Canis lupus familiaris: one gene and its partner. The protein of the gene in region 1 interacts with the protein of each later gene in a pairwise test. Links are inferred from orthologs where the notes say so. Each region holds a gene or a part of one and is shown in the gene's direction. Other genes may lie near its edges. The genes, in order: HAX1 and IL1A.

The links.
Region 2: the proteins of HAX1 (region 1) and IL1A interact in binary tests that used the Homo sapiens proteins (3 or more experiments, as listed by UniProt). The link is inferred for Canis lupus familiaris from reciprocal best matches to the Homo sapiens genes HAX1 and IL1A.

The regions. Positions count from the first base shown.
Region 1 is NC_049228.1:42,951,781-42,967,771, reverse strand, and holds HAX1 (HCLS1-associated protein X-1), read left to right. Parts: upstream 1-8,421; 5' UTR 8,422-8,529; coding exon 8,530-8,582; intron 8,583-8,648; exon of another isoform or gene 8,649-8,794; intron 8,795-9,047; coding exon 9,048-9,346; intron 9,347-9,476; coding exon 9,477-9,670; intron 9,671-10,542; coding exon 10,543-10,594; intron 10,595-10,721; coding exon 10,722-10,828; intron 10,829-10,953; coding exon 10,954-11,044; intron 11,045-11,192; coding exon 11,193-11,278; 3' UTR 11,279-11,445; downstream 11,446-15,991. Other genes in the region: UBAP2L (ubiquitin-associated protein 2-like), read left to right, coding at 101-206, 4,700-4,767, 5,506-5,703, 6,098-6,148, 6,969-7,064. UniProt on the Homo sapiens protein: Recruits the Arp2/3 complex to the cell cortex and regulates reorganization of the cortical actin cytoskeleton via its interaction with KCNC3 and the Arp2/3 complex. Slows down the rate of inactivation of KCNC3 channels. Promotes GNA13-mediated cell migration.
Region 2 is NC_049238.1:37,152,615-37,168,353, reverse strand, and holds the start of IL1A (interleukin-1 alpha), read left to right. Parts: upstream 1-7,363; 5' UTR 7,364-7,443; intron 7,444-8,078; 5' UTR 8,079-8,086; coding exon 8,087-8,133; intron 8,134-9,115; coding exon 9,116-9,164; intron 9,165-9,556; coding exon 9,557-9,767; intron 9,768-11,532; coding exon 11,533-11,706; intron 11,707-13,550; coding exon 13,551-13,669; intron 13,670-15,739. UniProt on the Homo sapiens protein: Cytokine constitutively present intracellularly in nearly all resting non-hematopoietic cells that plays an important role in inflammation and bridges the innate and adaptive immune systems.

The DNA.
Region 1 (15,991 bases):
GATGGTAGCTGTCTGAATGCCTGATTCCTGGAGTAGGACAGGTCGGGGGAAAGGCTCACTGTCACCGTGTCACCTCACTCCTGGCCCTTTTGCTCTCTAGGTGGCTCCTACCTCTTCCAAGCAGCATGGTGTGAATGTCAGCGTGAATGCATCGGCCACCCCTTTCCAACAGCCAAGTGGATATGGGTCTCATGGATACAACACTGGTAAGCTTACCTTGACCTGGGCTGTCCATAATGGTTATAGGATGTGACTGAAGGAGTTTTAGGGAGGAAGATGTGCTGCTTGAGAAAACAGGGTTGGTGAAGTGTGCCACTAGCAGCTCCATGTAAGATTTTTCATGTTTGGCTGATATGGGTGTCTATCTGAGCAGCACCAGCGGAGATGCTTAACGTTAAAACACATGTCCAGCACTCATGATGGGAATGCCCTGGGGCATGTGTTGGCTGTTAGAATATGTTGGCTGACCTAAACGTTGGGCGGGAAGCAGAGCCAAGGGCCCCAGTATTTCATGGAGATGTCAGTGGAGGTACGTGTTAGGATGTTTGGTAGTGGTAGTACAGAAGCAGAGGTGCTTCCTGAATAGCAGAGTTGGGTGGGTTTGGCATACACTCCTTTTCTCATGCAACCCCTTTCCGTTCCCTATTTGGGAGATCTAGGATGTGCAGAGAAAAGCATGGGTTGTGAATGGTCAACACAGGGAGAGCTGGACCTTAGAATCCCTTGTTTGTATGGTTGGTTTCTTGGCAAGGTCTGTTTGCACATTTGATGGCAGGAGGAAAATGCAGAAATCCTCTCAATGGGCACTGACCGGAAAGATACCCAGTCTGTCCCCTGCTCCTATACCTGACACCTGCACTCCGCTTCTGGAGGACAGGGACTAAGGAGTCGTTTTTGAATAAAACCGTGCCATCTACTTTTGTCCATGATTTGTAGACAAATATGGGGAAGAGGTTGTTGGAGTTGCAGAGAGTTGGGGTTGGGGGTTTTTCAAAATTCTAAGCTCACTTACGTGTTCATGGTGATTTGGATGGAGCTGCATCTGTGTTCTTACCCCTGTGTGGGCTCCAGGTGGGTCAGTTGCCCAAGGTTTTCCCTAATTGGGGAACTGAGCTGAGCACGGAGGGCAGTAGGCCTGGGAACTAACCTAACCGCGAGGTGGAGCTGTGAGCTGTGTCGGAGCACTCTGGGTGAGTCTGGATTTAACCTGGAGAAATCCTGGCCTGCCTCACTCCTTGGAGCTGCTTCTCTCACTGAGCAAGATGCACCCTAATCCTTGGTGGGGAGGATTATAAGCTCTCTGGACTTGGAATGGCCCCATTCTCAGAACATTAGATTTAAGGTTTAGTTGGACCAGATTCAAGAATTTTAAGAGGTAGGTGATTGATAACATAAGAGAGTGGCAAACCTCATTCTGGAAATCTTAGTTTCTTATCTCCCTTAAGATTTCAGAAATCTACTGTAACAGTTTTTTGAGCACCCCCAGTTCCCAACCCCACAGAGGGCTCTTGTCATCCCATTCCGCATCAACCTCTAAATTCATTTATTTTTATGTATTTGATTCCTTTTAGGAAGAAAATATCCACCCCCTTACAAGCATTTCTGGACGGCAGAGAGCTAATTTGGCCCAAGGCTGGGGGCTATGTTTTGTGTGTGTGTATAAATTTGCACTGAAGTCTTGTTTCAGAAACCAGACCACTGAGGAGAGCCTGCTGAGCTGAGGCCATGGCCTGCGTGGCTTGGGGAAATGAGTTGGTGGATACCTTCTGGGCTTTGAACTTGCCCTTCCCCCATTTCCCTCTCCCCCATGTGTCTGACCCTGTCTTACCCATTTCGAGTTCAAGCGGTGCAGCACCTCCGAAGCATCAATGCACACACCTGCTGTTGCTTTTGATTCTGGAAGGCATGTAGTTTCAACTTGTAACAAAATATTTGTAGTCTTCAATAAACTGTGGTATTTCTTTAGCTAACTCTGGCGTTCTTTCCGTGCATGTCTTTCTGGACACTAGGAGCCAATGTTGTGCTGTGGATGAAAGGGGGGGCGGGGGGGGCTTTTCAATCAAATCCCAGCATAGCCAAAGAACTATTAACTTCTCGTCATGGTGATTTTATGAAGGGGGGCGAGGGGCAGCAGCCTGTTTCCAACCCTTTGATTGATCAGTAAAGAAAGCTATTTGTAGAAAATCCCTGATTCTCCCTGCTTATTACAGCTCTTCACTTTTCCACTCAGCTCTTTCCCTGGTCTCTGACGTGAGCAGAGGGAAAGGACAGAAACCGCTTGGAGTGTCCTGTCATGGTGAAAGGCAGAAGAGGTGGTTTTCAGAGCTGGTTTAGGGAAGTGGCTTCCAAGGGCCTTGGCCAGGTGGCTGGTTGAGATCTGATGAAGTCTTTAGTGACCAGCTAGTTGATGACTCAGGCTGTGTACACTGTGCTAGCCTGCAACATCGTTCTTATTCTTTATCCCTTGGTAGGCTTTTCAGGGATTGTGGAGTACTCGTGGTTTTGCACTTGTGGGTGTAGCTAAGGATGCGTGGGAGACGTTTGCTTAGACGACTCCTTGACTATGGAAATTCTTATCCTCACTCAGTCTAATTACTAGTACACCTCACCCCTTTGTTGACAGTTACCTTGTAGGCTGAGAACACCACCCTTTGTTCATTGGAAACCCAGATACCCCATTCCCCTAGAGGCTGCCATGCTGGGAGACGTTAGTTCTCGTTTCTCCTCCACTGTCCACATCATGTCAGTGTGGTCTTCACTGCTTGGGAGTGGGGGATAGATGAGATGTTGACTGTTGGAAGGAAAGCTCTAGTCTGATGAGCTTTCTCATAACTGGTGAAGGGTAAGTGGGGAAGCTGACAGCTATTCCATTAGTGCTCACACTCAGGCTGTTAGGGCTGCTACACTGTCGTCTCATCCTGCATCTCTAGTCCCTTTAACCACCCAGACTACAGCCTCAGGCCTAGAAGCTGGATGTTAACTAGTCCAGACTCTGGAAAGAATGAAACCGGGGTGGGGGGCACTCCAGAACTAAACTCCTCCCTGCTACCCAGCTCTAGAAACCAGTAGGCCTTTTCTCCCATCCAGTGTGGTGGGGTGACCCTGGGTGTCTGCAGGGTGTTTGAACTTTTGTGTCTTTGATTTCCTTCAAAAACGTTATTTGTATCCTGTCTGTACTGCCTCACTCTCAGCCCTTCCACACAGACCTTCCCAGTGGCCTAGTCTTTTCCATAAATGAACTGTTCTTAATGCCTATCACCCATTAAGAGGGAAGGGGAAGATCTACCCCATCGGTCCCTGGGTCGACCCCTTTTATTTCAGGGCCTTTGAAGTGATGGGGCCGTATTTCTCAGGCTGTTTCCATAGTTCTGTTCTTTTTCTTGGCTCCTCCACCAAACCATCTAGACTTGTGCTATGAAAGAAAGATCCTGCAGCGGCTATCCAAAGGGGGCTTAACTTTTTGAAGGCTGCCTTTGTCCTAGGCATTGGGGGGATTGGGGTTCTGGAGTTTGAAGGGGGAACTGCTATTGAGTTATGGGGGAATTTGTGATTTGGTCAGTTTATAGACAGTGCTTCTAAAATACTCTTCCATCAAAGTGCCCCTCCCAGCCGGAGAGAAGGATCAAGGACACAGGCTGAAATGCAGTTTTTCTGGTTTCATTTTATCTCCTGTGATGAGACTGAATGTTTCCTTAAAAGTGTGCTTTAAATTCCAAATTAAATGGAGTTATTTTTCCTCAAATCTTGGCATAAAATCTCTCTAGTAAGATGCTGGATTATTTTATCTGATTACTTTTTCCTGTCTCCCTGACCCATGGCCCCATACCTGAGAGTAGTTATATGTATTTCAGTTTAGGGAGTAGAAATTAAAATGAGGAATGGTACTGCTTTAGTTTCCTTTAGGTGGTGGTAGTGGTAGGAGGGAGTTCACCAGGAAATGTGCAGGTTGGTGGGAGTATGGATCAGAGCCCGTGTCTAATGGAGAAGCTCAAGTTGTAAACAACGAGGATGTCAGGTTTTGTGTTCCACATAGACTGTAGGAGATAGCCTACCCCCACTGCCTTCCTAACCCCCTCCCTTCCCCATGCTTAGGCTTAAATTAGTTAGCTGGAAGTGCACCTTTGCATCAGCTCGTTAAGTCAGAAGTACATAGCCGAGAAGAGCCAAGACTGGAGCAGCCGGGCCAGGGAAGCTGAGACTCCCAAGAACAGACCACGCTCTTGGGGCTGGACTGGATTGCTCCTTGAGCACTTTTCTTATGCTGTGAAAGCACAGATCCTGAGCCCAAAGGTCTCTTCTGAACAGGAAGAGCCCAGATTACCTATCTTAGGAGCAGGACTGGGTGGAGTCTGGGTGGGTTGATTTGAAATGGACATTAAAATTTTATTACATTTCTTTTCAGCTTTGGCACAAAAGTGTTTTGAAAACTATATGCTAGTGAGATTTGGCTATATCCACTTGCCCCACAAAAAGTAGCTCAGCTCACTTTCTCACATACATTCTCAGTACATAACCTGGAAAGGACAAGAGATTTGGGTCATGAGCTCTCATCTCTCTCGGTGCTGACCTGAGCTGGAAAAACAGACCAGAGTCCCCTTGCAGTGTGGTAACTAGAAAGGCCGCACACGCCATCTCCTTGTCTAGAGAGGGGCCAGCAGCGAGCCCAGCTAATCCTCCTGTCTGTTTCCTCCTCCCCCAGGTGTATCAGTCACCTCCAGTAACACGGGCGTGCCAGATATCTCGGGTTCTGTGTACTCCAAAACCCAGGTAGGTGCCTAGAAGTGGAAAGAGATGGGCATAGAGGAGGTGGTGTTGCAGTGACAGAAGTCCAGTGAACAAGCACGACCCCAAGAGGTGTAGGAAACCTGTCCTCGAAGATGAGTGGTCTCTAGATTTCAGTTTCTCAAAGAACTTTAAATTTAGCTCTCTGAGAAAGGCAAGAGAAGTGTGCCAGGAAGGTAAGGCGTGGCAGGTGGCTGTGATGTGTCTTGAGACTTACTGTGGCAACTGTCCTTTCTTTCCATACCACCAGCCTTTTTGCAACTTTCCAAGAGAATGGAATGAAGGGAAACTAGTTCCGTTCTTTGTAAAAACAAAAGGTGGGAACGGAAGAGTGCATCTGAACTATTAAGCCTGATACATGCAGTGTTCGGAGTTATGGTGGAGCACTTGGTGACCGAGACCTTTGCCACCAGGATGCCCGAGCTGCACGGTGGGGGTGGTTTGTGATGGTAGAGTCCCAGAGCACGCTCACAGCTGTCCTCTCCTGCTGTGCTGACAGCTGGGAGTCAGCACCCCTGGGTTATGTGTGAGCAAAGATCAGAATGAGTGAGTACTTCTCTCAGGATCCCACAGCCCTTGGAGAACAGAGCAGACCCGCTCACGTGCCTTTAGTGCTGCTGTTCTGCTGCATACTGCTCTTGGGGGGTGGGGGACTTGGGCTCTGAAACTCCAGGGCTTGGTTTGCTGACCCCTTTTACTGTCTCTCCCCATCCCTCTGGATAGCAGTCCTTTGAGAAACAAGGTTTTCATTCCGGTACTCCTGCTGCCTCCTTCAACTTGCCTTCAGCCCTAGGAAGTGGGGGGCCCATCAATCCGGCCACAGCTGCTGCCTACCCACCTGCCCCCTTTATGCACATTCTGACCCCCCATCAGCAGCCGCACTCCCAGATCCTCCACCATCACCTGCAGCAGGATGGCCAGGTAATAGCCCTCCCCCTCTCCTCTCCCTTCCTCTTCCTTCCTGTCCCCTACAACTGCCTCCCTTTCCTTCTCTTACCCTTCCTCACAACCACCTTCACCTACCCCTCCCAGCGCCAGCCATGGGCACACAGCACATACACACACAAGTGCACATAACACCAGCTGCCGGCAGAGGAGATGTCAGAGAAGGGGCCAGGCTGAAATTTCCTTTGGGGCCTTTCTCTTCTGCCTCCTATAACACAGCTGCCTCATCCCATCAGACCTGGGTCACGCCTCCCCTCCAACCTCTCCCAGCCTCCCCCATTCCCTGACATTGTAGCTTTCCCTTCTAATGGTGGAGTTCTATTGTCAAAGTTTGTCCCTTTATTTTCCATATATCCTGGTTCTGCCTCAGCTACCATATTTGCAGATGATTCTCTGTTGCCAGCGCCAGCAGGAGGAGCAGGTAATGAAACTGAATGATGATGTGCTTGAACCCACTCCTTTCCAGCCCCCATTTCACCTCCACAGCGTCAGGGAACTTGGAAAGGCTGCACGGTCACAGATCAGGACACACAAACACAGACACCTCGCTGAGCTCTCTGGCCTCCCATTCCTCTCTTGTCCTCCCTCCCCAGCGCCCTCTTTCTTTCTGCCCTTCCCTGACTCTGGAAGCACTTGGTTACTGGAATGGAAAGGATTCTTGGGGCAGCCTCTGGAGCCTGGGGCCTCAGACTGTCTCTCCTACCTCACCTGCAGTGGGCTCTCAGCTGTGCTCTGTGGTAGGGGTGGGGAGCTTGGGGTGGTACAAGTGACCTCTCCTCCATCACAGGTGGCTGAGGAGCTGGGATAAGACAGCTTTCCAAATTGAGGTATTCATGGGATTGATGAAAATGAAATCTCCGTGTGATCACTCCTCTCCAAGAGGCTGTGATTCTCTCTAGAGAGAGAGAGCCTTTTCTCAGAGCAGTGTAGGTGGGAGTGGAGGGAGAAAGTGGAATTGAAAGTGGGGAGAACTCATTCACTGTCTTGTCTCCAAAAGGTATTCTGCCGTCTTTATGTTGTTCCCCTGTTCAAAGCTTGAAAATGCTCTCTTCCATGTCACAGGTCCTCTAGCACCTATAGAAACCAAATTTTCTGTGGTGGGGAAGTAAACTTCAGAGTCATTTCTAAGCAAGGGGAGTGGGAGAGCAAGACAGTTTCCAGAGCTCTACCTGCAGATGTCACAGATTTGTCCCACTAACCAGACACCTTTTTCCTCCTCCTCATCATCCCATTCCCTGCAGACGGGCAGCGGGCAACGTAGCCAGACCAGCTCCATCCCGCAGAAGCCCCAGACCAACAAGTCTGCCTACAACAGCTACAGCTGGGGGGCTAACTGAGGCCTGACCCCCCTCCTGCCCGGCAACCACGGAAACGGCATCAGAGAGAGAGGAAGGGGGGGTTCCGCTGCCCCTACCTCCAGTGTCCCACCCTATGCCTCAGCTTCATGTCTGTCCCGTCCCCATACCACCCCTACTCTGTTGTATGTATTATAGGATTTGTATTTTCTCCTTTTTTTTCCCCCTTTCCTCTCCTCCTCCCCCCTTGCATTCAAGATTATGAAACTTTGCTGTGGGCCCCGCCTTCCTTCTCCTCCTGTTCACCCTGGTGGTGTATAGGTGAGGTGGGGCAGGGGGACCCCCAAATATATATCAGCCCAACAGCCCTACGTCTCCTCCTTTATTATTAGGAAACAAAACAACAACAAAATGGCGTCATGAATATGAACAGCATTGTCAGATGAATTAGTTGAAGTGTTTTTTTTTTGTACTGTGTCCTCGAATTTAATGGATTAATGTGTCTTGTATATATAAAAAGAAAACCTCTACCTTCAGCCTCTGCCCGTTCTTGCTCATTCTAAGACAGTCTGGTCAGCCAGCTCGGTGAATGAATATTCCGTTCCAGCTGGGCCCCTGGCAGGCTCTGGAGGCCCCAGAATAAAGAGAGCTTCTGCCTTCACCTGCCCTGCTGGGATTCCCTCTCCTCCTTCCCCAGGGGCTTCACAGCCTAGAAGGAGCTGCTGCAAATTTTCATTTCCTCCAGAAGCTGCTTCCTCTGCAGATTTCAGGCTGTGACAGGAATGGACAGCAGACACAGGGTAGAAAGCTGGAGAGTGGGTTTGGGGAGCGGTCGTGTACTGTAGATGGTCCAGGACAATGGTGGGGGGGCATGCAGTTCCTGCTTCTTGAGTGCTGCCGGCCCCTTGAAAAGGAGGGGTCAGGAGACCAGGGCCGGGGTGCAGGGAGGGTGGGGGCGCAGGAAAGGAAAGGCTTGAAAGTCAGGGGGCAGGCAGAGGGTTACTTACAGCTCCAAACTCCTCCCCCGGCAAAGCTTACGGGATTTCCCCGGCTCTCTTGCCAAGCCTGTGCCTGCAGGCTGCAGAGCCTGCCTAGGGCAGCTAGTATCGGTCACGGTCACCGCATGCCCGTTGGCCGGGGAGCGCCAAGTCCGAGCATCCCCAACCGACCCGTGGATTCAAACGCCGAGCCTGGAGCACCTGCCGCACCGGCTCGCTGGGCGGAGGCTGCCCCCTGGCGGCGGCGGCCGGTCCCGGGCAGGAAGGCGGCTTAGGGTTCCGGGCCCTCGCCCGCTCCCTTCGCGGGCAGGGGGTGCGGCTCGGGACCGGGCGGCGCCCCGCGCCGCCTGCGCCGAGCAGACGGTCGTGTTACGACAGCGTGCCGCGCCGCCTGCCTGCTTTCCGGCAGGCGGCCCGACGCTGCTCTCAACTTCCGGCGGCGGAGTGCAGCTGCGGCCAGGTGCGAATGGGCCTCGGTGGGGTCTGCAGGTTCGAGTCCCAAAACGGGGATGAGCTTCTTTGATCTCTTTCGGGGCTTTTTCGGCCTTTCTGGACCTCGGAGGTTAGAGTGGGTCGGGGTCGGACGAGGGTGGGGTCTCCTGAGGGGAGCTTGATCTCTGACACCCAGTTCTTGGGAAGCCGTCCTCTTCGTCACTCCTTCACCAGCTGCGGAGAGGACAGAAGTCAGCACACTGCGCACTCGCCCCGCGGCGGTCACCTGGGCGGCCGCTGAGAGGAGGACTAACCGCAGTTTAAGCCTTTCTCCAGTCTGGGGTGATGCAACAGGGGCCTGGGCGGGAGAAACAGTGGGGGCCGGGCGGGGGTGGGGCGCGGGGGGCGGGGGCACGGCCTGCCCGCGAGGTGAGGACCGACCCTGACACAGACGGAACCCCGACGGCGCCCCGCCAGCCTCACTCCCGCACCTCGGTGCGCAGACCTCTGCCCTTGGCTCCTCGGCCACCCGGAGCTGATTGTGCGGCCGAAGGTGTGGCTGAGATTCTGGTGCTCAATCTACCTTCACTCCCAGCCACAGAGATCCCTTTTTTGGAGGGATGACTCGAGATGAAGATGAGGACGATGAGGAAGAGGAGGAAGAAGCAGCCCCGTGGAGCCATGGGAGCTCGAGGTCTGAGGGTCCCCAGACCCCGGAGGAATTTGGCTTTGGCTTCACCTTCACTCCAGGAGGGATGCGTTTCCATGATAACTTCGGCTTTGATGACCTGATTCGTGATTTTAATAACATCTTCAGCGAGATGGAGGCCTGGACCTTGCCTTCCCGGCCTTCTGGTGTGTGGCTGCCCCTGGAGCACCTCTGGTTTCTCCTGGGTTAGTGGGTGAAGCCAGGAGCCTGAAGAGAGTAGTGGGGGTGGGAAGTGTGAGAAGAATGATAATATCAAGGCTGTGAGGAGCCCAGGTCCTCTCCCCCCCCCAGCATCCATCTGCCCCCTTTTCCCAGAACTTCCAGGTCCTGGTCCTGAATCAGAGACACCTGGTGAGAGACGACGGGAGGGACAGACACTTCGGGACTCAATGCTTAAGTATCCAGATAGTCACCAGCCCAGGATCTTTGGGGGGGTCTTGGAGAGTGATACAAGAAGTGAATCCTCCAAACCAGCACCAGACTGGGGCTCCCAGAGACCTTTTGGTCTGGTGAGTGCTTCTGGGCCCCAAGTGAGAGCCTGCAGGAGGTAACTAATAAAGCACAGACTGGAGCTTGTCAGAATCTAGCAAAGTTGGGTTGGGATCCTAGGTTCTCCACTGTCTAGTGTATTTATCTGTTTTCTCTATTAAGCTCCTTGTAGGATTGGGCGGAGGGGGCGCATGAGGGTGGGAGTTCAGCTTTTTTCTCTATTTTTTTTTATGACTTTTTAAAAAAAGGTTTATTTTATTTATTTATTCCTGAGAGAGAGATAGAGGCAGAGACACAGGCAGACGGAGAAGAAGGCTCCATGCAGGGAGCCCGATGCGGGACTTGATCCTGGATCTCCAGGATCACGCCCCGGGCTGAAGGCGGCGCTAAACCGCTGAGCCACCCGGGCTGCCATATAACTTTTTTTAAAGATTTTATTCATTTATTCATGAGAGACAGAGAGAGAGAAGCAGAGACACAGGCAGAGGGAGAAGCAGGCTCCATGCAGGGACGTGATCCCAGAGTCCTGAGATCCAGCCCCACATTGGGCTCCCTGCTCTGTGGGGAGTCTGTTTCTCCCTTTCCCTCAGCCCCTCCTGTACTCCCTGTCTCTCTCAAATGCGTAAAACCTTAAAAAAAAATCACCAGTCTGTATGATTCTGGGACAAGACGGATTGTTGGATAGGATAGAGTGTCAGTTGAGGAGAGCCTTTTGGTGGAAAGATAGATTGAACGGGTAGGACAGAGAAAGGGGTGAGTAAATAAAGCTATCCTGAGTGGAATCCTCTGTCCCAGGGGAAAAGTAGTTACGGAACTTAGGAATATTTTGGATTCTGTGACCTCTCAAGTTTCAGATTGAAAGGTATCATTTCACCTATTTTGCCTTCTACAGTTTGATGATATGTGGCCTGTGACCCCCCGTTCTAGAGCCAGAGAAGACAATGGTGAGTCTGGAGGGAGGGGACATTTAACGTACCCTTTGTTCTCTCTCCCTTACATTTCTTCTTGTCACACTTGGCCCCTTCTTTTCCTTTGGACTTTTGATTTCGTGTTTCCTCTCTGCCCTTCTAGATCTTGATTCGCAGGTTTCCCAGGAAGGCCTCGGCCCAGTTCTGCAGCCCCAGCCCAAATCCTATTTCAAGAGTGTCACGGTGACTAAGATCACTAAGCCAGATGGGGTGAGTTGGAAGAGGAGTAAAGGGAAATGTGGCCAGAGGATGCCATGGAAGAGCAATCTATATAAAGAAACCAGTGAGCTCACTTCTATTGATCTTAGAGATATGGTTGGGGTCTCTCCTTGTAGACAGTAGAGGAGCGCCGGACTGTGGTGGATAGTGAGGGCCGGACAGAGACCACAGTAACCCATCAAGAAGCAGATGGCAGTCCTAGAGATGGTAAGTAAAGTTTGTGAATCAAAAAGGTCCATCTCTTATTTCCTTGGGCAAAAAACACACATACTTTTTCAGCCTTTGATATTCTTCTCCTTGTCCACTGCCCATTCTTTTTCATTTAGTGTGTCTGTATGTATCACTTTCTCCTTAGATCCAGAATCACCAACACCTCCAGCCCTGGATGATGCCTATTCCATCCTGGATTTATTTCTAGGACGTTGGTTCCGGTCCCGGTAGCCTTGTTAACCCTCAGAGGCCTTCAGATCCTTTCCACCCTTCGCTCACTGTCAGTGGGCTTAGCTTCTCCTGCCACCTCAGGGTCTTGGGTGTATGGAACAGTGAGTTGGGGGTATGTCAGTATGTGACTCACCTAAACTGACCAATAAAACCTTTATTTATGCTAACTCCTTGGTCTTAGTTTTGTCTAGGCTGTTCTTCCCCCCCCCCCCCTTTTTTTTAAAGGCCTCCCAAGCTCTCTCCAGTCGGCGGGACCCGCCTGCTGCGCGGGGTGAGTGGAGGCTCTTCTACTTTGTAGTACCATCCAGGGCTTCCCAGATTATTTTGGCCCACAGTATTCTTACTTCTTAATTTTTTGTTCTGCTTCCCAACCCTGATTTGATAATCAGGTTAATTTGGTCAGGATAATCAGGATAATTTGGTCAGGTACTGGTAGAAAATGAGTATTCTTATGGAGGAGATACCTAGAGACAATTCCAGGAAAATTTACACAGGGATGCATTAGAGTCTAACAAGCGGAAGTGTGTGTGGAAATGTAGGGACACCTGCTTCCCCAGGTGTGGGATCACTATGATCGGACATTTCACGAGGTAATTTGATGAAATACATTGGCAAATATTTTTTCCTTTAGTGGGTATGTATTCCCCCCCCCGCCCCGCCCCATGTATGTTGGAGAAAATATAACTAGGACAAACGTTGCTAGATTTTTTTTTTCTCATTAAAGAAATTCTTAAGAGCACCTAGGTGGCTCAGTCGGTTGAGCATCCAACTTTTGGTTTCAGCTCAGGTCATGATCTCAGTCATGAGACTGAGCCCTGCATCAGGCTCCATGCTGAGCTCGAGTCTGCTTGTCCATCTCCTTCCCACTCTTTTTTTTTCCTTCCCACTCTTTCCCCACTCTACCCCCCTGCTCAGTCTCTCTCTCTCTTTCTCAAATAATAAACCTTTAAACAAAAACAAAACTTTAGCACTGTGGTTTATAGTGGCAGATCTTAAACATTTGTTTACCTCTGTTTTCTTGAAATTTCACTAAAATGACAATAAAGGGATTTTTCTAAGGAAGCAAATCATAAGAACAAAGAGATATAATCATGAAATTTTGTCTTTTCTCTTTATTATATCTTTATGTGAACAGAAGTTGATTTATTACCCAAGAAGTTGTTTATATTTCTCTTTATAGTTAGTGCTCTTTATATCTTAGGAATATCCCCAACCCAAGGTTAAAAAAATATTTCTTTATCCTCTACAAGTTTTATTAGTTCTGCTTTTTATATTTAGGTTTTTATTTATTTATTATTTTAAAAAGATTTTATGTATTTATTCATGAAAGACAGGCTCCCTGTGGGGAGCCCAATGCAGGATTTGATGCCAGGACTCTGGGATCATGCCCTGAGCTGGAGGCAGATGCTCAACCACTGAGCCACCCAGGTATCCCTACATTTAAGTTTTTAAATCCATCAAGAATTTATCTTCCTATGGGGTATGAACCACAGAACCAGGATGCCTCGGCAGCTCAGCAATTGAGTGTCTGCCTTTGGCTCAGGGCATGATCCCAGGGTCCTGGGATTGAGTCCCATATTGAGCTCCCTGCATGGAGCCTGCTTCTCCCTCTGCCTATGTCTCTGCCTGTTTCTCTCTGTGTCTCATGAATAAATAAATGGAATCTAAAAAAAAAAAAAAAAAAAAGAAACATGGGACCAACTTCATTTTATTCTATTTGGGAAAATACATATGCATATGTATGTACAGATATGAATATATTTTGTACACACACAAATACACATGGTTCCCTGTGCTGGGCCTTTCTGTCTGTCCTGTTAATCTATTTGTCTCTGTGCCTACTCACATTTTAAAATTGCAGACTTGTATTTAGTAGAACATGTCCTCTGACTTTTTTCTCCTTTTAGTATGTAAGGATACAATTTCTTAATTAATTAATTAATTAATTAATTAGAAAAAGCACACGTGGGCAGCCCCGGTGGCTTAGTGGTTTAGCGCCGCCTTCAGACCCGGGTTTGAGTCCCACGTCGGGCTCCCTGCATGGAGGCTGCTTCTCCATCTGCCTGTGTCTCTGCCTCTCTCTCTCTCTCTCTCTGTCTCTGTCTCTAATAGGTGAATAAAATCTTAAAAAAAAAAAAAAAAAAAGTTTGAAAAAGCACATGTATGAGTGGGGGCGGGGGGCAGAGGGAGAGAGAATCTCAACCAGACTCTGCTGAGCATAGAGCCCAGCTCTATCCCACAGCCCTGAGATCATGACCTGAGCCGAAGCCAAGAGTTGGATTCTGAACTCACTGAGCCACCCAGGCACCCTTACAATTGATTTTTCTTTTAGGATTTTATTTATTTATTCATGAGAGACACAAAGAGGCAGAGACACAGGCAGAGGGAGAAGCAGGCACCACGCAGGGAGCCCAATGCGGAACTCGATCCTGGGTCTCCAGGATTTTATGCCTTGGGCCAAAGGCGGTGCTAAACCGCTGGGCCACCGGGGTTGCCCACAATTGATTTTTCTAATCAGCTTTTCAGAGTACCACTTTAAACACATGGAGCTGGAGATGACCAGACATTTGTGGATAGCCTCCAGCATGAACAGTGGACTCAGACAAGAGAAGCGACTTGGGAGAAACATACCTGCAGAAAGATGATTTAGCAAGGGCACGTTTTAATGTCCTTAGAAATATAAGATGATACATCCATAAAGAAGGTATTCTTGCAAAAGAGGAATAAACAAAATAAGAATGAACTTTGAGGAGTTTAAAAAAATGTGATGGCAGAAATGAAAAACTGTAAAAAGATTTTATTTTATTTTAATTAAGAAAAAAATTTTTTTATTTATTCCTGAGATAGAGGCAGAGACACAGGCAGAGGGAGGAGCAGGCTCCATGTAGTGAGCCCGACGTGGGACTTGAACCTGGGTCTCCAGGATCAGGCCCTGGGCTGAAGGCAGCGCTAAACCGCTGAGCTACCAGGGCTGCCCTTATTTTAATTTTTTTTAAAGATTTTATTTTCTATTTTTTATTTTTTAATTTTATTTTAAAGATTTTACAGGGCTGCCCCTGTATAAAGATTTTAATGACAAAGGTGAGGAAATCTCTAGAAAGACCAAGTGATAGAGATAGAAAACAGGAAAAAAGTACACCTGAAACTAATAGAATGTTTACATGTTGACTATGTTTCATAAAAATTTTTTTAGAAAAGGAAAAAAAGAGGGGGACGCTTGGGTGGCTCAGCGATTGAGCGCTTCCCTTTGGCTCAGGGTGTAATACCAGGGTCCTGGGATTGAGTCCTGCATCAGGCTCCCCTGAGGGAGCCTGCTTCTCCCTCTGTGTCTCTCTCTGCACCTCTCTTTGTGTCTCTCGTGAATAAGTAAAATCTTAGAAAAAGAAAAAAACGATAAGAAAACTAACAATGGGGCAGCCCCAGTGGTGCAGCGGTTTGGCGCCGCCTGTAGCCTGGGGTGTGATCCTGGAGACCAGGGATCGAGGCCCGCGTCGGGCTCCCTGCATGGAGCCTGCTTCTCCCTTGCCTGTGTCTCTGCCTCTCTGTATGTCTATGAATAAATAAATAAAATCTTTAAAAAAAAAAAAAAAGAAAAACTAACAATGTAAACCATCAATGAAATAAACCAAGAAAATATCCCAGAAGTGGAGAGTTTTACTTCTTTTTAAAAATTTTTAAAGGCAGAGACACAGGCAGAGGGAGAAGCAGGCTCCATGCAGGGAGCCCGATGTGGGACTCCATCCCAGGTCTCCAGGATCAGGCCCTGGGCTGAAGGTGGCGCTAAACCACTGAGCCACCGGGGCTGCCCGAGAATTTTACTTCTAACCTGAAAGACCCGCTACATGCTAAATAGCAAGGAAAAAAATAAACCCACACTACTTCAGAACACTAGAGACAAAGGAAAATCAAAATGATTTGAGAGAAGGTTCAGAGGAATCGGGATTCAGGATTCTTAGTTGCATCTACCCAGATGTCCCTATCTCAAGTGTCAGGATCCTACCCTTTTTCTTTCAGGACCCTACCCTTGACACAGGAAACCTACTGGGGCTGAGAATTGCACTTTCTCTAAAACTCTGCTACTCATACACTTCACATCTGAGCTGGTCCTCCACTCTAATGCTCACTGGTTGCAAGAGGTTAGGCTTTCCTGAAATGCTGTCAAGGGAGCCCAGTGGCTTTTGCGGTCTGCCTTTGCTTGGTGATGGGTTTTGCAGAACCCAGTGACCATTTCCCTCAGCCTCTTCTTCAGTGCTGGAGATACTGCACAAGTGCATGTCCTTCCAACCAGTCACCGCTTCCAGCTGCCCACTGCTGGCCGTTTTAATCATTGCATTATTTCAAGCTAGAGACGATCCATATTCTACCTACTACCATGATAGAGTTCTTGTCAACCAGCCCGTGAGTGATCGCCCAAATTCCGTTCTAGATTTTGTGGAACCACTCCTGACACCAACTCTTAAATTGGGTTCCCTGGGAAAAGACAAAGATGAAAAGAGACATGAGCAAGGTTTCTTGGGGGTGCTAGCACTCTCTGGGGATACAAATGCTAGGAAGTTGAAGGCAGGATGAGGCAGAGTGGGGACTGACACAAGGAAGTTGCAAGAGAAGCCTCAGCTAATGCTAAGGGGACTTTGAAGCTAGAGTGACCCTTCAGGGTTGTTCTGTATTGAGGCAAAGAGGCCAGGTCGTTGTATCCCTGCATCAACCAGTTGT
Region 2 (15,739 bases), on another chromosome or scaffold:
ACAAGCTTGCATTTTACTTAGAATTCCTATAACTATAACCTGATTTTTGGTTGGCTACATTTGAAATTCCCTGCAGCAAATCTTTTTTCCATTCTATGTCAAGGATGAGCCTGGACTAGCAGAGCAAAGAAAGGTCTAATTCCATGGGTGGGAGAGGGGAGAATAACTCCCAAAGGGGGCACAGCCTGAGCAAAGAATCAGGAGAAAGTTGGACACTTGGGGACAAAGAAAGGGAAACTAACACTGAACTAAATACTCTCACAAACACAATCTCATTTAATACTTCCAAAGCCCTATGAAGAATTGTTAGCCCAGTTTTACAGATGAGGCAACCAAAGCTCTAATAGTTAAGTAACTTGCCAAGGCCATGCAATAGGAGACACTGACATGAAATGTTATGCCTTATGCTTTTACTCACCCAATTTCTTCAGCCTGGAACATCCATTCTCCACTATCCAAACCTACCACTTCAAGTCACAGCTAAAATGCAGGCTCTGTAAAGTCTTCCATAATTCTCCATGTTAGCTTCAGCCTCTCCCTTCCCATCTGCCTGCTGTGCCTCTATTACAGGACTTCTTTTATTCTGCTTGCACTGTAGTCATCTGCACAGGTCTTCTCCACAAGTTTAGAGCTTATTAAGGGCAGGTGGAGTTCTTTGCCACCTCTTTCCCCATGGCTTCTGATACAACGCCTCACTGTGAAGCAGACTGCCAAGCTGGCTTCAGTAAGATTTCCTGCAACTCTGCTCTGTGGAAACTCCTGCTCTCCTCTGCCCCTACCTAGGTCCTGCTCCTGAGTCCAGGCTCTCTCAGCCTGCTCTTTCTCTCCCAGGGGAGCTATAGTGCCTTTGAGCAACTATGAAGGGGATATAATGATCTACAGAGGACTGCACTAAGATCTCATGGAGAGCACAGTAGAGAAGAGAAAGTTAAGATCACATCTCTTCCCTGGATGTTCATTTTTTTAATCAAAATACTGTAAAACTTGTCTAGCCTTTCTGACTCAGAAACTTAAACTCTGTTAAAGGTAACCAAGGCAAGGCCCCAGATGATCTCTCATCTCTATCAAGCCTGAGTCATCATCAATGGAGTAAAGTTGTTATTTCCTTCTGTCAGTGACTGTTATATATTTCTGTACTAGAAATGGAACTTGTTTCTTTTTTTTTTTTTTTTGGAACTTGTTTCTATTTATACTCAGTGACAAATCAAATCGGCCACTGAAGTAATGAAAAAGCATGTATCTGTTTCTAACGCAACTGTACATGTGACAGAGAAAGATCCTACAAAAGAATATTAAGGAATGAATACAGGATGAGCCTTATGTAACCAAACACAATACTTCAAGAGTATAGAAGTACCATGAAGCAGATATGGTTAGGTTCAGGGTAGTCATGAAGTGTGGGGTGAACAGCCATGGCTGCAAAAATCCCAACTGTCATCCAGTCCAATCTTTTACCTTCATAGATAAGGACAGCTCTGAGATGTATAGAAATGTTTTTAGGTCACACAACAATGGGTTAGGGTCAAAGCCAGATCCAAGTCTCTTGCCTTTTCAACCACACTGTGTACCACACTTGCCATTCCCTGTCCTGCGCCACAGTTGCTCTAACCAGGGGTCCATCCTCCCCAGTACCCAGGAATTCATACCAAAAGGAAGGAGAACAGAATCATGCACTGGGCATTGGACCTTTGCTGTTAATTATTTGCATCCATAAGTCAGCTTCACATCATAGTGAATGCTTATACTGATATTTAGAAAAAATGTTTTGAAAAACTATAAAATGCCATACAAATGTTAGATGTTTAATGTAATTATTATATGATTTCCACCTGGGATGTTAACAGTTTATTATTGGCCTTTTTATTTTCACAACTAAATATATCTTTATACCTGGGATCAGAATTTGGCCAAAATGAAAGCATCTGATTAGGTTTTTAATTCACTTGATTTGAAAATCATCTCTCAGAGAGTAGAGAATATGATAAGAGGAATACTAATCTAGACACAATTCTGTCTAAGAAGGAATTGATTATATGAAAGAAGAAATTTGAGATAAAGTGCATGTCACCTTGGAGTTTGTGATGGAGAAGGGAAAGATAGTTATACACAGTAGTAATCAGAATAGATTAGGTTATACTGCATAGTATACAGAATAGATTAGGTTAAACTCTGAAATCTCAGTGACGTCACACAAACATTTGTTTCTCAGGGCATCTGGGTGGCTCAGTCAATTAAGTGTCTGCTTTTGGCTCAGGACCCTGGGATTGAGCCCCACTTTGGGCTCCCTCTCTGCGGGAAGCCTGCTTTTCCCTCTCCCTCTGCCGGCCACTCCCCCTTCTTGTTCAATCTCTCTCTCTCTCTCTCTATCAAATAAATAAATAAAATCTTTTAAAATAAATAAAGATTTCTCACTCATGCAAAGATAAATGCAGATTGTTCTAGTCTCATACATCTGCAACCATACCTCATCCATTTGTAGCCATACCATCTGGAATACGTGACTTCCAAAATTGCTGCATCAGAGGAAGCTGGAGATGACGGAAGCATACAGTGGCCCTCAATTGCATAAGCCTAGAAGTATAACATATCACGTATCACTTCCTGCTCACGCTTTGGCCAGAAGGAACCATATATCCCTTACCCATGCAAGGGAGACTAGGAAATGAAGACAGACATTTATCAAGTAATCCTACAAATGGATTTTTGGTAAGGAGAATCTACCACATATACATTCCCTAGATTTCAGAGGAGCAAATATTGAAATGCTCAGAGTATCCCATTTGTATAAAAACAAAGCTATATATGCCTTAAAAAAGGAACAAATGAAAGAAAATACACCAAGGTAGTAATATTGAATACCTCTAGTTATTTGTTTGTGGATTTTATTTTCTTTTTATATTTTTTATATTTCCCTAGCAATATTTAATAATCATGTTTTAGAATCCAGAAAAGTAATCCAAGTTTTTTATTAATTGTGAAACAAGTTCAGACCAGAGACAACTATGATTCCATGAGGAAAATGACTCAAAAGAAACGGGAATTTCTCTAAAATGCTCTTCTGATTAGGCAATCACAATTAGCCAACAAGAAGAAAAATGAGAGACAGGTATAGACATGACTGTGGTCACACAGAACCTCCCTAATGAACTCTGATTTTAAGTGCATCTGTAAAAGACAGAAAGACAGTGTACCAAGGGAGAAGGCAAGGGAGTACACTTAAATTGATGAGCACTGAGAAATATATTGAATTGTAGAATCATTATATCATATACCTGAAACTAATATAACATGGTGTATTAGTTATACCTCAATAGAAAATTAAAAAAAAAAAAAAAAAAAAAAAGAATGGGTCTAAATGAAACTTGAAATCAACTCAGGGGGCAGCCCAGGTGGCTCAGTGGTTTAGCGCCTGCCTTCAGCCCAGGGCATGATCCTGGAGACCGGGAATCGAGTCCCACATTGGGCTCCTTGCATGGAGCCTGTTTCTCCCTCTGCCTGTGTCTCTGCCTCTCTCTCTCTCATGAATAAATAAATAAAATCTTTTTAAATTTTTTTAAAAGAATAAAGAAAAGGAAGAGGTTATACTAAGAAAAAGAGCCCAGTAGTTTCTTGAGTCTTAGGCTCTGGTATCTGAATCCCATTTCAGCAATTTGGTAACCTCAAAATCTTAGACAGATTGGTTAATCTCCCTGGACTTTGACTTCCTCTTCTATAAAATGTGATAAGAATACCTACCTCACAAGGTTGATGAGAAGATTAAATGAGAAAATGTATTATAACACCTGGAAGACTATGTTAGATCCTTTCCTCCTTCCCACTAACCGTCACAGAATTTAAAAGCAGGTTACAATTAAATAGGATGAGATGAGACAAAAGGCTCAATTGTCTCTGTATGTAATGGTTTATGCACACTTCATTCCTCTGAAGAGGACTTCTACAACCTGAAAACAAATAATTACATCCCCTGAAAAATTCATAGTGAAGAGTTATGTTTACTTTTTCATTCAAGCAATGCTGTAGATCCAACTACATGCAATGATTTTAAAGTTGGTTCCAAAGATCTTCTCTTGTCTTCATGGTACAATGGCAAGAGTATGGCTAAAGTCTGTATCCAGACTCCACCACTGACCATGCACTTAACTACATTGACCACCTCCATCCTTTTCCTGTATGTCACAGAACAAAATGAGATTTCATTGATGGAGGAGGAGAGAGGGAGGGGGGATATTTCAAATCATTTCTTTTTTCATCTTTTCTTTTAAACAACAACAACAAAAAAAATCCTAGAATCAATGACAGGGTGTTTGAGGCTGACAAGACCTTCAAAAATGATCTCTTTCAGCCCCATCACATGGCATTTGGTGGAGGCAAGAGACTTGAGCACCTAAATGCACTAGAAAGTCAAGATTGGACTTGGAACAGAAACCCGAAGTTAGAGGGCTGGCTCTGCCACTTTTGTGACAACCATCCACTTAACCTCTTCAAGGCCCCTCAGATGTGAAAAGAGATAGCAACTACCTCTGTGGGTTAAGTGTGGAGCCAGTGAGACAATACAAGTGAGAGCTCTTTGTGAAGTATAAAGCAGTTTTCAAATGAAAAGCACCACCATGATTCTTTATACCTACAACTTCCAGGCTAATAAAGTGTATCCACTTACCTACCAAAATATATCATCTCATCTTGTATCTAATTTGGTGAATCCTGAAAGAAAAATGCTTATGTCTAACAAAAACTCTGGCACAGAATAAGTACACAATAAACTTTTTTTTTCTATATGATCTGGTGGAAATTGACTAACAGTTACTGAAGCCTCCTCAGAGTCAAGAGATGGGTATTTGAACCCCCAAGGACCTCCTGGGCTCCAACAGAGCTCTACCTAGCATGTTTCTCTCTCCATTCCCTAGGTAGAGATGGTCTAGTGATGAGACTTACTTACAAGTCAGTATAGGTACATACATACAGAAAAGTAGGTTCCCCCAAAGTGAGAACTCCCACTCTCTAAACCTCATCCATGTTGTTCCCTTTAAAAGCCAATTTTCAAAAAGGTCATATGAAGGAAAAAGTTTAGTGAAATCTCAGCCTAAGTTGGCTATCTAGAAAAAATTCCAACTGTCCTTGAGAAAGTCAATAACCATATTTGGGGAATTCCAATTCTCTACATGAGGGACATAGGCCAGGATGGGTGTAACCACTAAAGGTAGGACCAAGGATGTTTTCCTGGATTACCAAACAGGTGCTATACATTCCTTCCAGGAACTAAATATCTTCAGGGTTTCAAGGGAGGCCTTCACCTGAAAATGTCCTCCTTGTTAAAATTTTCAAAGCAATGTTTTCATAAGAACTATATATTCTTCAGTGAAGTAAGGTGTTACAATAATGACTATATAGGTTCCCAAGTGACAGAAGCTATCATTAGCATTGTTATTATTTTTGTTTAGTTGCATCTCCATAGCAGCCCACATTCATAGTGTAGTTTGCAATTATTTCTTGGTAATAGCCCTCACAAGATCTCCAGGATGCAGAAGGAACAACCAGGATTAATATCTGTATTGCCTGAAGGAGAACCACAGACATAGAAAATTGGCTACCATCACCATTCAAACAAGGATCCTTCCAGAGACACGCAAGATCTGTCCCAATCTGGTCCTAAATTTACATTGCCTACATCTAGGATACATTATTTCTGTGGCTCTTGTTTATAACTATTGTGACCAGGTCTATGAACAAGAGGATCTGGACTGGCTAATAGCATCAGAATCAGAGATTTTGCACTTAGGCTAGACCTTAAAGAACATCTAACCAACCCCTACTTGTTGTTTTTGTTTTTGTTTTTTAATTTTTATTTATTTATGATAATCACAGAGAGAGAGAGAGAGAGAGAGAGAGAGAGGCAGCGACATAGGCAGAGGGAGAAGCAGGCTCCATGCACCGGGAGCCTGACGTGGGATTCGATCCCGGGTCTCCAGGATCACACCCTGGGCCAAAGGCAGGCGCTAAACCGCTGCACCACCCAGGGATCCCCCTACTTGCTGTTAAATAAGACTAGAGAAAATACTCTACCCAACTCACACAGCCACTTTACTCCCAGTTCTGAGCAGTTTTGCCTTTTTATACCATGTTACACTGCAGTGCCTCACCTTTCTCTCTTTACCTTTTTATTCCTCTCCTCTACCCTCTTTTTCCATCCATTTTCTTTATCTAACATTTACATGGCTTAGCAGCACCTGAGTGGCTCAGTTGGCTAGGCATCTGCCTTTGGCTCAAGTCATGATCCCAGGGTTTTGGGATGGAGTCCTGCATCAGTCACCCTGCTCAGAGGGGAGTCTGCTTCTCCTCCCTCTGCCATTTATGCTCCCTGGATATCTCTGTCAAATAAATAAGTAAAATCTTTTTAAAAATTTTTTTCTTTTTACATGGCTTAAAGTCCAATCAGGAAACCTTCAACATTTATCTGCCAAGAGTCTGACGTGGTACCACCTGAACTGGGCCAGCCTCAAGATGCCAATAAAATCTTTGATAATAACAGCCAGGCAACACTGATGTAGTGCCTATATAAAAGTCCCTCCCCTTCCCTCAACCTCTATTCTCAAATCCAGCTACCAGCTTTTGGCCAGGGCTTGCCCATATTTCCCTGAGTCTGCAGCTATCCTCACACACCTTAGGTTTATTCTAGAAAAGACCAGACTTCCTTTGGGTCCTGATAGAGAGCCACTTTGCTATAACATGGCCAGAGCAGAGAGTTCTCTCCTAAAGCCCTGTCACTTCTGTAGGAAATGGGTTAACAATATTCAGAGGAGTAAGAGGACTAAGACTTCTTATAGTTATCATTTCTCTCCCCTACCCTGCCCTAACCAGGAGGTTGTCTCCCCATTCTCAGAGTGATTTATGCCTATTCAAGCAAATCTCCCTCTTCAGAAAAGATAGATCATCTTCCCTCATAGCCAATCCTTTACTGCCAGGGGCTGCCAAGCATTCCATCAATCCATACTCAGTGCTGGGGTACAAAAAACAAATTAAGCTAAAACATAAACTACAGTTCCTAAGTTCCTGTCTAATTCCAACCACCTAGAATTCTGATTTTAGGAGTTCTCTCTTCCTCGCCACCACTATGTTTTTAGAAACTTAAATTTCCTGTCCTTCTTCCCTTTTTCTAAGACTACATGTTTATAATTGTTTAGAGCAAAGCCAGATAAATGAGCCAAGTTAGGAAGTCCTGGAATCTCTGTAAACAACACTATTATCAAGTATGTAATCTGTCGTTATTTGGCCAGTTTCCAGTTAAAGGAAGATAAAAAAAAAAAAAATACAATTCTTCCCTGTAAATTCCCCTGTGACGCACACAGACCACGCCTACTCCAAGAAGACAAAAGGCGAAGTAGTCTGACTAGGGCTAAGTATCCAGGCAGAGAGGGAGTCGCTTCATTGTCTCCTGAGTCAGCAAAGGTATTGTCCTGATCACATCTCTGACTTTTAAAATATATTTTGCTTTTCTCCTTGGCCATTGTCTCTCAAACTGCCTTCTCTGAAGTTCAAGCCTTTTCCTTCCTTTCTTGTCTGTGCCTGGTTTGGTGTGTGAGTTATAATCACGGTCAGATTTCAGAAAATAATTCTTTCTACTGATGAGGAACTGAGGAACAGAAGAACTGGTTTCATATAAAGGCATTGTGGGTGCAGCCGAGCCTTCCCTTGGAAGGAGGCTCTACTACCAAAATTACTAAGAGAAAACTAGAAATTTCCAAATCTGTCTCTCTCTTACATCTATGTAAGGCAAATACCTCATTCTTGTAGGTTTTTTCTTTAATTTATCCAGGCATTCATTGGATGCCTACTGTGTACAATGCACTGGGTTGAGCACATAGAGAATATCAAAGCTTTAAAAGAAGTTTGCAATCTAGGAGAGGAGGCAGATACATATGCAGATAACACAAGGGAGTGCAAAGAAGAATGGGGAAAATGCTGAGTGTGGGCTAAGTCATTCATTAAGCTTCTCAAGAAGCACAAAGCAGTGGTGATTCCGCTTGCAGGTATTTGGTTCAGTGGCTGGCTAAGCTGACAGCCACTCATGTTCTCTGTTGCAGAAATCAAGATGGCCAAAGTTCCTGACCTCTTTGAAGACCTGAAGAACTGTTACAGGTAGGAAATCAGTTCTATCTCTTGCAATTTAATGAGGAGATCAAGGTACATGATAATCTACCTAGTATTACAGTAACTAGCATGGAGCCAGACTGGCAGAAGCATAAATAGAGATGTGTCCTACCTCTGAAGTCAGGACAGATTCAGCAAAGATCCAGAAAGAGTAAGCTTCTAGCATGCTACACTGAGATGACACTGACAGGGAGATAGCCATTTTAGAAAAAATTATTTTTTTTGAAAAACTATTTTTACTGTCTCCTAAGAACTAATGAATTTCAACATCTACTTAGACACAGCCTCAGTCAGGTTCACATGCTCTGATATTGTAACGGGTTTTAATGGACTGTCAGAGAGAGAAATCATTCTCAGGAAAACTTCTGGATCTCAGTCTGGAATAGGTAATGGCTCCATAGCAATTTGAGCATGTGAATGCACACACACAGTCAAAACTCATTCAGACATAAGGGTAAATGAATAAAATGTTAAATTATAGGATACTTTAAACAAACAAGGTATTCCCATTATCTATTAGTATATACTAACACAAACCAAGCTATCAAAATGTTGCCTGGATAGTTCCCAAGTGTACATTATTACATCTGTTTAAGTGAATACATGAAAGTAGTGTATAACACATGACCTACTTGGTTAACATTATTTAAAAATTTTAATGCTTCAAAAGCATTTTCCTCTTGAGGAGGTTAACATTTTTCCTTGAAATTCAACTACAACCCTTCAATTTGTTAGCCAAGCCCCATTTTTAGAGATAAAGCACAGGTACAGTTCAGTGACAATTACTGATGATTACTAATTCCAAATTAGTGAGGCACAATTACAGCACATATGTATGTATACGTATAGAAATCCTTAATTTTCAAAGATGGCAGTAATGACCGTGTGTGTTACCAAAGCTAATGTGGTCATTAAAACAACTGCAGAGATGTAACAAACAGAATTACATTCTCATTATCTTGTTTGACAGTGAAAATGAAGAATACAGTTCTGAAATTGACCATCTCTCTCTGAATCAGGTAAGTAAATGACTGCAATTCTTATGGGGTTACTATTCTTATGCAGTATTTTCTCTACCAGGAGAAAACAGCAATAGCTTGAATCCTAGAAGCTTTTGTTTCGCCCTCACTAGAGGTTCAGAGACAAATATTTCTTCATTATAAGTGAGACCAACTGCCTCTCTACACTAATTGTTGATGACATTCTCCATGCTCAACAGATTTTCCAAGGGAAAGGTGGGAGGGGAGGAGAAAAAGAGGACGAGGGAAGGAGGGAAGGAGAGAGGGAAAGGGGAGAAGATTGATGGAATAGAGATCCTTTTCACTAAATCTATTAGATAAAACTTCTGCTGAAAGTGATCTCTTCCTATGACCACATATAGCCCTTCAGTTTCTATTTTCCTTCCTCATAGAAATCCTTCTATGATATGAGCTGTGACCCACTTCATGAGGACTGCATGTCTCTGAGTACCTCTGAAATCTCAAAGACATCCCAGCTTACCTTCAAGGAAAATGTGGTAGTGGTGGCAGCCAATGGGAAGATTCTAAAGAAGAGACGGTTGAGTTTAAGTCAATTCATCACCGATGATGACCTGGAAGACATTGCCAATGACACAGAAGAAGGTAAGAGGTCAAGTACAAATAATATCTTTGTTTTCCATTCTTAAGCAAACAGAGCTAGCAGAAAATAAAACCTAGAATAAGAGTAATAAGGGGGCAACCAGACATCAGTCTAGTAACCACAAGGAAGGAAAATTAATTTTTGTCCTTCTCCAGTGGGAAGAGAGCAGCAGTGAGTAGCCTGAGCCTACAGAATACTTCCTCATGGGTGCATTTTGTGGCCATATTGTAAAGGTCATGTGCCTTTTATCCTTGTGACAGAAAGCAGTTACATACTACTCATAAGCTATGTTTCTCCAGATAATAACTATGCTCCTTTGTAAGTTACTTAACCTTTCTATACTTCAGTTTCCTCTACTGTAAAATGGAGATAATCAGGGCCCCACTTGTGAAGATGAAATGAATCTATACTTGCAAGCTCCTGGACTAGAATGATGCCTGGAACATAAATACCCAATAAACATTAGATTTTGTTATTCCTCCTTATCTTCCTCCTCCTACTACTACTCCCATTACTACTACTACCTTTCTTACTACTACCAACATTGCTAATTTATTACTGGCTATATTATCCCTACACTTCACAACAATCTAATATTCTCATTTTACATAGGAGGAAACTAAAACTAAGCTCAGTTAGAGAAGTCACATAGTGTATAAGCAGAAGAGGTTTAAACCAAATTCAGTTCTGATTTTAACAGTCAGGATTATTCTCCCATGCTTCTACTGTATAAGCCTCTACATGAAACATAAATAGGTTTTAAATAATAGCTTTTTTTAAAGATTTTATTTATTTATTCATGAGAGACACAGAGAGAGAGGCAGAGACACAGGCAGAGGGAGAAGCAGGCTCCATACAGGGAGCCTGATGTGGGACTCGATCCCGGGTCTCCAGGATCACGCCCTGGGCCAAAGGCGGCGCTAAACCACTGAGCCACCCGGGCTGCCCAATAATAGCTTTTTAAAGTAACAGGTAAACACTGATACACAGTCACCTAGAAAATAGGAAGATGAAAGAAAATGCAAAAGAAAATAAAAATTATTCATACTACCACTAAGAGTTTGCCACTGCCAGCACTATGGTATGTCCTTAAAGTCTTTTCCATGCACATACACACATATAAACAAATATTATGAGGATTATATTATATACAATCTTATATTCAGCTTTTTTTCACTTAGCAATATACCAAGGGCATTCTAGAGTACCAATTTTTCAACATTATAAATATATAACAATTAATATCCATATTATATCCTTATTTTTATCACTATTTCCTTAGAATAGATTCCTAGTCATAAAATTACTCAGAACCATGAGGATTTGTGAAGTTGTTGATTTATACCACTGTTCAGAAAGAGGGGTAGACATTTAGACTTATATCCTCAGTAACAAATATAAGTCTTAATATATTCATTTTTTTCCTTAGAGTGTATTCATCTGAAAAATGTAGATGTGAATGTTAGCAGTCTTCCTGTTTTCTTAGAAACCTCCAAACAACCAAAATGAGAATATTTAACAAATAATCTTTTTTTAAAAAATTACTGCCTAAGGAATTGAAGTTTAAAAAGAAATAAGTAGCCACAAAGATAATCCTAGAAACTATTTCTGCTGACTGGGTAACTTCACTTCTTTCTCAATTTTTTCACCCGGATTGAAATATTCCTAATGTCCCTTCCATAGCTAATTTTGATACTTGTATTAGAGCAGATATATTACCTGTGTTTGTTCATAGACATTAATCTGAGCTTGTGATAATGGTTTTAGTAATCATGAAGCCCAGATCAGTAGCATACAACTTCCATAACAATGAAAAATACAACTATATAAGGATCATCAAATCCCAATTCATCCTGAATGACAACCTCAATCAAAGTATAGTTCGACAAACAGGAGGAAATTACCTCATGACTGCTGCATTACAGAATTTGGATGATGCAGGTAAATGTACAGCTCTGTCATTCTCCCATCCTCTTATTTCTGTATTTCTTTCTAACTTTTTGCTTTCAAAATATAAACCTCTCTAGATTCCTAGCTTTGCACAATTCTTAGGATGGCTATTTGTCGAATCTCTTATAATTACATTAGTGGGATAAGACCCTTCAACTTGTAAGCTCATGCGTTTATAATAACCTAAAATGGAGGGGTTTAGGGAAGCTGATACACTCATGTTGCTAGTTGCTAGTGCTGGTGAAAACTAGTTGCTTTCCTTAGAGAACAGTGCTTAATAAGAACTATATGATTATTTATTCCTAGGAACCAGGAGTTCCATTTTTGGGGTATGCACCAAAGAAATAACCTCATTGGGAAAAATTATATATACAAAGATATTTGCAGTATAGTTACTGCAGTAGGATGCAGTATAGTTCAGTATAATTACTGAATTGGATGAAGCACAACATCCCCAGTAAAATCCTAGGCAAGGATGGGAGCTTCAGCCAAATCAGGAAGCTATACAAGAGAGAAGTTTCCTATCTTTGAGAGCACCGAATATAAAGCTTTCTGATGAAGTAGCTCCTTTGATTCTCTCAGACACTCTTATCTTTGGTTTTAAAGATGAAGAAACTGACTCTCAGGAATATTAAATGACTTATTCAAATTTACCCAGAAGCCAATAGGAGCAATCATTCCCCATTAGAAAGCCTGCTGCTCAAACCTACAAGTATCATCAAACTGAAAAGAATCATCATCTTTGATAACACAGTTGTGAAGCAAAACACCCAATAAGCTGACAATATGTTCTGGAGGATGAAATTTAGTATCCAAGAAATTTTGTCACACAAATCCAATCTTCATGGTGTATGTATTTTAGCTTCAGGACATGCCCTCAGTATACAAAATTATTTTCAGAACTCCAAAGAGACTACTTTGCAAAAAACAAACAGGGCTTTTTCTGATTGGACATACTTCAGATAATATGCTTTCTACTCCTTGACATTTACAAATTATTTTGTGCTGTATTTTCCTACTTAATATAATTTCACATAATTTCCTCACGTATTGAAATAGCATACATATTTGCCATTTTTTTAAAGATTTTATTCATTTGAAAGAGAGAGAACAAGTGATGGGGAGGGGCAGAGGGAGAGAAAGAGAAAAGCAAATTCCCTGCTGAGCAGAAAGCTCCATGAGGGGCTCAATCCCAGGACCTAGAGATCATGACCTGAGCAGAAGGCAGACACTTAACTAACTGAGCCACCCAGGCATTTTAATGGCACTAGAATATTCAATCATGTTGCTATTTGGGTGCCTTGGGTTTGCTCTAAGTAACTATACTGCAAATATCTTTGTATATATAATTTTTCCCTATGAGGTTATTTCTTTGGAGCATACCCCAAAAACGGAACTCCTGGTTCCTAGGAATAAATAATCATATAGTTCTTATTAAGCACTGTTCTCTAAGGAAAGCAACTAGTTTTCACTAGCACTAGCAACATGAGTATATCAGCTTCCCTAAACCCCTCCATTTTAGGTTATTATAAACTCATGAGCTCATAAGTTGAAGGGTCTTATCCCACTAATGTAATTATAAGAGATTCAACAAATAGCCAGCCCCCAGGCATTCATTCAACACAGAAAATTCTAAAGACATTAACCAAGTATTTACCTGCCTAGTAAATGTAGCAGACATTGTGAAGGATACAAAGATGTGTGGAATTCCATTCTGGTGTTTACACCATAGTTGGAGACCTAACTACAAACACACATACACACAATCTACATAACACTTGATTTCATTCAAATAACAATGGATTTACTTCCTTTTTGACTTTTCTCTTTGCCAGTGAAGTTTGACATGGGAGCTTACACATCAGAAGATTCTAAACTTCCTGTGACTCTAAGAATATCAAAAACTCGACTCTTTGTGAGTGCCCAAAATGAAGATGAACCTGTATTGCTAAAGGTCAGTGGTTCTCAGTCTCCAATTTACCTTCATTTACATCCCATGTTTGTGAATGATTCCAATAGGCAGATACCCCTAGCAGGGTGGCACAGTCCTTTTCCCTTCCTAACACAGTTTCTACCTGCCCACCTGCCCCCGCATGCTACTTCTCACCTATCCCCAGAGGCACTTCTAGGCAGGATCTATGAGAAAGTAAAATGGAGGTGGCAAGAGTGAATAAAAGGTAAATTGCCTTCTTCCTTCTTTTTCCTTACCCTGCCTGACCCTAGTCACCTTCCAACCCAGGGCATCCATCTTACTAACATCTACCATCTGACCTATGTGATGGTAGACATTAGGACAATGGGGCCTTCTTCCAAAAAACTCAAATAAGCCAACTAGGAGCAGAGAGTGTTAATCACTTGTCAATGGGCACAAAGCAAAAAAAAAAAAACGAGCCAAGACTCAAACCCTGGCCTTTTGACTCTATTACCTCTCTCTTCATTGGTGTCAGCATTATCCCTCATCCCAGCCCCATCTCCACTACCACCTTCCCCTCAAACATATAGACACCTAAACACACCCACTGTAGCTTTAGATGCTCACTCCACTGATAAATAGGTGACTCTTATTTAGTAAATGTATAATGCAAACCCCCAAATCCAACCAGGATTTTTGTAGGTGCATGTATTTCTCTACCTGGATCAACTGAGGTAAAAGTAATCTCTACAGACTAGGGCAGTAGCTCCATTCATGAATTCATTCAACAGGCATTATTTATTGAGAGCCTTCTATTTTTCAAACATAGTGCCAACAACTATGTAGACCATGGTAAGCCAAAGTCCCTAGCCTTATAGAACTTGGTCTTCTTGAGGACACAGACAGTAGACAAGCCAAACAACTAGCAAAAAATACAAGATGCCATAAAGCAAATGAACAGGGTGCTGAGATAAAGAAAAATGGGAGAGTGCTCTTTACATACAGTGGCAAGAGCAGAGCTCCCTGTGAAATGGGATCTGATGATAGGAAGGAGCATGACATGGAAGGGGATGAGTGAGGGTTAGCATTCCAAACAGAGGGATCTGAGCATATCTAGGACCTAGAGCTTCAAGAGTTTAAAGCCAGCTTCAGAAATCAGAAGGAACACTCTAGAACCAGGGCACTGTAAGAAGGAGGAAAGATAAGCAGAGGCTATTGTTTGCAGAGCCTTGCATTTAGGTTTCCTTTGAGGTACAATGAAAAACCATGAAAGGGTTTCAAACAGGGAAGTGTCCTGACTTCACTTATATTTTCTAAAATGGAGAATAGGTTGGCAGGAAGACATTGGAGAAAGCACAGAGCTCAATTAGGAGATAATAATAATAGTCATGGGAGTTGGGGTAGTGAGACAGATCGAAATAAGTAGACAGAACTGGTGATGTTTTAGAGATAGAACCAACAGGGTGTGAAGAAAATACATTTACTGAGTTGGGAAAAAACTAGGAGAGGAATGGGTTTGTGAAATAAATTTTTGTTGACATTAAAAACCCCAGGAACCCTTAAGAAGTTTCTCTAAATTAAAAAGAACACAGTAGAAGCATCTCAAGTTGAAATTTGAATTTCACTTTTCCATTAAAGTATTGTTATTCCATTCATACTCTCAAGAATAATACAGCCTAAAGAGATCACAATTGTCAAAAATTATATTGAGAAGAGCCAGTTGCTGATATACCTGGAAGTGTATGTGTGTGTTTGGGATTTTTTAAAACTTTTAATTGCTGGCTTAAACATGGAGATAAACATCTCTAATAATAAATTATTTTCCCAAAGATATGATCTGCACACTTAGAGGTCAAAATGTTTAGAGGTCTCAATTGCTAATGCTCAGATTTTATGCAAAATGTCTTATCCTCATGTTGAAGGCAGGACAAGAACAGTGTCTTACTCTACCTGCCAGGATACAGTGAGACACTAGTGTCATTGGCAATCTTCATGACTAATTTGGATTTCTCTCCAGTTAAGTAAGGAAATTAACTATTATGTGTAGACTGGGCCACACATCTAATAGTCATGTAATAAATGCTTGCTGAATGAACAAATGAATGAAGAATC